Oryctolagus cuniculus: one gene and its partner. The protein of the gene in region 1 interacts with the protein of each later gene in a pairwise test. Links are inferred from orthologs where the notes say so. Each region holds a gene or a part of one and is shown in the gene's direction. Other genes may lie near its edges.

Region 1 (3,500 bases):
GCTGCGAGCTGGGGCAGACCTGAGTCTTTTGGACCGCTTGGGCAACTCTGTTTTGCACCTAGCTGCCAAAGAAGGACAAGACCAAATTCTCAGTGTCTTACTCAAGCACAAAAAGGCACCACTACTTATTGACCATCCCAATGGGGAAGGTAAGAGACAAGCATGCAGTGCTGGTATAACCTCCTCTCTTAGCTTTCTAATTACCAGGGATTCAATACGTGTGTTAACTTGATTTGTGCCCAGAGGGCTTTCCTTAGGCACCTGGAGCTCATTGTCTCTTGTGGTATTCCTTTTCACTCAGCTCACTGTAACTAATTCCTTTAATTTGGAGGAGTGAGTAGGAAGAAAAGGCAGAATCCTGAGCAAACACTTATCTTGAAGTCTGTGAAGCGGCACTGATTCCACTCCTGTTTATGTACTCTCAATGGCTCCTGAGAACACAGTTGGAGCCTATGGCTTGCAGGGCAGAACAATACACCTATAGTGTCTGCAGAGCTGACAGGCAGCCTCTGTCCCTGTGATCGATCCAGTTTTGCCACTTCCTTCTGCTTGGGCCCTAGGTCTGAATGCCATCCACCTAGCCGTGTTGAGCAATAGCCTGCCGTGCCTGCTGCTGCTGGTGGCCGCTGGGGCGGATGTCAATGCCCAGGAGCAGAAGTCGGGGCGCACGGCACTGCACCTAGCTGTGGAACATGACAACATCTCCTTGGCCGGCTGCTTGCTCCTGGAGGTGAAGAACAAACTTATCTCCCAGGGGAGACTCAGGGATCCTTTAAAACAATGAAGTCAGCTAACAATTCTCTGACTATATTCAGCTTTACTGATTTAACATCTGTGCAAGCTTTCAGAGTAGCACCTTTAGGCATTCCCCCAACCCCAGCATCTCTAACTGGAGATGACCTCATTGGCAGAGCCAGCCCAGAGCAGTGACTGGGCTAGTAGATAAGACCGCAGGGGCCATGCCCACAGGAGGAGGTGGGGACAAAAGGCTGAGAGAACCTTTCGCTAAGCCTGTTCCTGTGTGGGCCGGATTTTAGGGCGATGCCCACGTGGACAGTACCACCTACGATGGAACTACACCCCTGCATATAGCGGCTGGGAGAGGATCCACCAGACTGGCAGCTCTTCTCAAAGCAGCAGGTAAGAAGGCCTGGTGGTCGCTGATGGAAAATGTGTTCCGAAATTCAAACCCAGCTCCAGCAAAGCCACAGAAAAGCACAGGTAAATAAAAATTCTGTGGCTGATCACATTTTAACTGCAATAGAGACACTGTTTGAACTAGTAATCCTGGCTTCTCCCCGATCCTCATGCCAGTTGATACTCTCTGATTCATCTGTTTGTTTTGGTTTGGGCTATTTAGATTAACTCTCTTGACAAAGGATCTTCCTAAAGCAGAGTTTAGTTACTTAAGCATTCTGAGCAGCACCAGTCTCAGATCATGTCAGAGGTCCTCAGGAGAAGTCAAAGACTTCCTTCAGAGTAGGAGAAGGCATAACCATGTGCGAGGCACTAACCGTTGCTGCTGTTTGTGGACCTTATTGTGGGCCAGGCATTTGCTCGGTTAATCCACAGTAACCTTTGCAGTGATGCCCATCTTAACAGCCAAGGAGACAAGACCAGCATGGCTGGCCGGGTCTCATGCCCTTTGTCCCAATGCGTGGCAGAGTGTAAGTCATGCTTCCGCAGTCTGAATTTCCAGATTTCATCTTCTCTCCTCTGTTCCTCTCCCTGCTTCGTTCCTGGGTTATTCTAGTGCATCCTCTTGTGCTGTGAAGTATAGACATTATTCCCAGTCATCTTGGACTCCACATTTAGAACCTTAAACAATATTGAAATCTGTACTTCAAGCTGCCCTAACATAACCTCAGGGGTTATTAAAAATTTTTAGAGGGTGTTAAATTACTTCAAGGAAACAGAGCAGGTTAAAGTACCATCTTGAAGGTATAGGAACCATTTCTTTGGAAGCACACAATTTTCTGACATGTAAGATCATATCCCAGATAAGCACCAGCCTTTTCCTTTGTCAAGTTGAACTTTTTCTTGAGTAAGAGACTTTGCAGCATGTTCATGAATAATTTTAGAAGCCACTGATTATGATTAAGAAATGCCTTCAAACAAGTAGAGTTATCTTGCCTTCAACACTGCCCTCTCTTGCATACTCAGACTCCTATTAAAGGAGTAGCAAGTAGCAGTTCTTCTGATGAAAATAAACTCAGCTAAAAGCCTAGTTCTGAGCTCAAAGTCATGACGAAGGTCGCATCAGGAACAGACACGGCTCAGCTCCTCTGTTTCTCAGCCTTTTAAACTGTTTATCTTTGTTTCTCCATTCCTTTCATGGTCAGGACTGGGAGAATGACATCGAGAAATAGCAGGCATATCGTTCAGTGACTCTCATCAGGCCCTCATTAGGCCCTCTCTTACTACTGAAGTTAGTCCCAATCAGATAATCTCCCAGCAAAATACAAACAGGCTCCCTCTCCCGACACAGTATGCTGAGCCTACTACTGTTCATTAGACATCAAACGAAACATGTTCTCATAAAAATACTGTCTGCCTTTGAAAAGTAACTCTTGCTCTAACCTTTGAGTTATTTTGGGTGATTTCTTGCCAGAAGCTAAAGAACAGACTAGATTTCCCAAGATTCATTAGCCCCAAAATTTTCAGTTACTACACACCCTAGCAGGAGGTTTTCTTGGTGCTTTTTGTTTCAAGATCAGAGCTCTGCCAGTGCTGTACACAGGAATAAAATTGACCATGCTGTCATAAAACCTGAAGCGTCTTAGATCTTTTGTTTGAGTGAGAGCAGAGGCTGAAAAATGTGCCCTGGCAAGCATAAGTTCGAACAGTTAAGACTTCAGTCCTGAGGGTGCACCGCCATCCCCGTCAACTGCTGTCCATTAGGCTCAGATCAAGGATGTGCCGTTCAGTTGGAAAATGCCCAGTGGTTAAATGTGGAAGAGTATTCAAAGTCTTGTGTTTTCCATGGTATCCTTTGCTATATAGGGTGTCATGAGACACCTTTGTAGTCAAAGTAAATTAAAATTTAAAAAGAACTTCAGTGGAAACATACTTTATGCATTAAAAATTAACCAGGTAATTGCCTGTAGCAGCTACCGTGCTTTGCCTTTGGAAATCTGACCCCTGCAAGCAGCTGAAGTTGGCAAGACCTGGGTTTACCTACTGCTGTGTAATGCGTCTTCACAGGAGCAGATCCCCTGGTGGAGAACTTTGAGCCTCTCTACGACTTGGACGACTCTTGGGAGACGGCTGGAGAGGATGAAGGAGTTGTGCCTGGAACCACTCCTCTGGATATGGCCGCCAGCTGGCAGGTGAGTGCTGTGCTGTCTGCCTGATGGTGGCTCCTGAGGAAGCCGGAGCTTCAGGAGTGGAAGAACAGATGGTCTTCCTGGGACTTCATTCCCCAAGGAACATGTCTTTCATTGTTAAGAAAGTCTGCTTGTCAAGAGCCATATTGCTCTTGAAAACCCTATCCATGAAAG
Region 2 (2,497 bases), on another chromosome or scaffold:
CCTGGAGAGGGGCCGGCGTAAGTCAGGACTGGCGAGGTCTCTGGCGGTGTGACCTGTGGTGCCGACCTGCCCGTCCACACTGCAGAAACCCCAGGGGAGGTTCGTTCCTTTGGCCACTTAGCGAGTTTCTGGTACAGCCCCGGCCTGGAGTAAACTTCCTGTGCTCACGTGGACTGGACCGCCTCTGGGAGGCGGCGCACCCGGGGCCGGAGCGCGGACGCGGAGCCCTCCCAGCTGGGTGTGTGGGGCCTCCAGCTCTGGTCTGTCCCGAGCAGCCCCTGGGCCTCATGGGTAGCTTCCGCTTCCCATCCCCCGTGCATGGGCGTAGGAGAGTCACGGTGGACACCCTTGGGCTGAGTCTTCGTCAGGGGCCATTTCTTCTGTGCATGACGGGGGGAGGGGTCGCGGCAGGGCCTGTGTTCCCCCCTGAGTCCACAGGTGACAGGGAGGTGCCAGAGGCTTTGCCGGCCCAGCCCTGGCGGCTTCCTTGGCATCGCTGGATGGAGCCTGGGTATGCGGGTGGCCCCTCACACCCCAGTTCCTGCTTCCCCGAGGCCCTGGGGCTGCCGGCCAGGACAGCTCCCCCAGCACGCACCCTGGGCAGGAACAGGAGGTTTTCCTGGGACTTGGTTTTGCCTGTGGGTTTCCGGCCTCGAGGGATTTGAGGGAGCGTGTGACGGGCTGAGGAGCCACCAAGGCTGTGGTCCTGAGGGCGGGCTCAGGCAGCCTCTCAGGGGCGGGGCCCCCAGGAGCCACCAGAACCAGCCGCAGGCCGCAGGCCTGGGTTCCTGAGGTGGCCCCACGGGCAGAATCCCTGGTGGCGGCGTTGGGAGCACTCGCTGTTGGTCAGTGGCAGTGCGCAGGCGTGGGCGACAGGCGTGGGCGACAGGCGTGGGTGACAGGCGTGGGTGACAGGCGTGGGCGACAGGCGTGGGCGACAGGCTCAGCGACAGGCGTGGGCGACAGGCTCAGCGACAGGCTCAGCGACAGGCGTGGGTGACAGGCTCGGCGACAGGTGTGGGTGACAGGCTCGGGCGACAGACGTGGGCGACAGGTGTGGGTGACAGGCTCAGCGACAGGCGTGGGCGACAGGCTCAGCGACAGGCTCAGCGACAGGCGTGGGCGACAGGCTCAGCGACAGGCTCAGCGACAGGCGTGGGTGACAGGCTCGGCGACAGGCGTGGGTGACAGGCTCAGCGACAGACGTGGGCGACAAGCTCGGGCGACAGGTGTGGGTGACAGGCGTGGGTGACAGGCTCAGCGACAGGCGTGGGTGACAGGCTCAGCGACAGGCGTGGGCGACAGGCTCGGGCGACAGGCCGTCCTGCCACTGAGGCAAAGCCAGTTTCAGACGGGAGGGGGCACACTGAAGCCGCTGGCCACAGGGCTCCACGACAGGTGTTTGGAGCAAGGTGGTGCTGCGTGGCCGACAAGGCTGAGCCAGGGGCTCCCCCTGCTGCCACTGGAGGCCCCCAAGCCCCAGGGCGTGGTGCTGAGGGCTGGGGCGTAGTCCGTGTGGTCCCACCCAGAGCTCCGCCACCCCCGACCCGTGGTGGCGGCTGGGGCATGTCGCCAAGGCTGCCTGCCAGTTGGGTTTCTTGGGGCTCATGGGTCCAGTCGGGCCTGCTTTCCACTGTAAGTGCAGGGAGCACGGGAGGGCACGCGCGTGGTCTGCGTGGTCACTCACGGCGCTCTCTGTGTCTTCATCTGTCGGCGGGCCCTGCGGCACAGCAGGAAGCCCCGTGTCACCACACCCCTGCCTTCCGCAGGACCGGGAGCCGGGCCCCTGCCTAGAGACTGACGCGCCGGAGCTCGCGGCGCGCACTGGCTGGCGGCCTGGGCCTGGGCCCCAGCAGCTGGAGCCCCGTGCAGAGGGCAGAGGCCCCCGCGCAGCCCAGGGAGCCCAGGGGGCCCTGCAGTGCCCTCACTGCCTGCGGTGCTTCGGCGACGAGCAGGGCGAAGAGCTCCTCGGGCACGTGGCCGAGTGCTGCCAGTGACCGTCCCCCGCGCCTGGCAGCGCCCGGCTCGGCCAGGTGTCCCGGGCCCGGGCCCTCACGACGACCATCCGCCTGGGTTCCCCTTTCGGTGCGGAACAGAAGGGGTCAGCGGCCTGGGTGGAGACGGACGGCGCGCTGGCGGGGCTGGCGGGGCTGGCGGTGGCCACGGGGTCAGGAGCATCTGGCCTGGGGAGGTCCCAGCCCCATCCTTCAGACGGAGTCGGGCTGAAGCCACAGCAGGACATCTAGGGAGCCCCGCTCGCAGCGCCTGCCCTGGGGAATGGGGAATGGGGAACAGGGCCCCGCGTGCCAGCCCCGCCCCGGCTTGTGAGAAAGGGCAGTGGCCAGCGGGCGCCCCGCTCGCAGCGCCTGCCCTGCGGAATGCGGCTGGGAGGCCGTGGGAGGCAGCGCCGCAGTCGCCGTCCCTCGGGCCTCGCTGCCACGGCAGAGCCATTCGCAGGGCAGCCGCGTTTCTCGCGCGCCACATTCATTCTCTATTC

Evidence for each region. The genes of interacting proteins can lie anywhere in the genome.
Region 2: the proteins of NFKB1 (region 1) and TNIP2 interact in binary tests that used the Homo sapiens proteins (3 or more experiments, as listed by UniProt). The link is inferred for Oryctolagus cuniculus from reciprocal best matches to the Homo sapiens genes NFKB1 and TNIP2.

What each region holds. Positions count from the first base shown.
Region 1 is NC_091439.1:62,591,809-62,595,308, reverse strand, and holds part of NFKB1 (nuclear factor NF-kappa-B p105 subunit), read left to right. Parts: coding exon 1-149; intron 150-560; coding exon 561-730; intron 731-1,037; coding exon 1,038-1,140; intron 1,141-3,204; coding exon 3,205-3,329; intron 3,330-3,500.
Region 2 is NC_091433.1:1,473,574-1,476,070, reverse strand, and holds the end of TNIP2 (TNFAIP3-interacting protein 2), read left to right. Parts: intron 1-1,769; coding exon 1,770-1,997; downstream 1,998-2,497. UniProt on the Homo sapiens protein: Inhibits NF-kappa-B activation by blocking the interaction of RIPK1 with its downstream effector NEMO/IKBKG.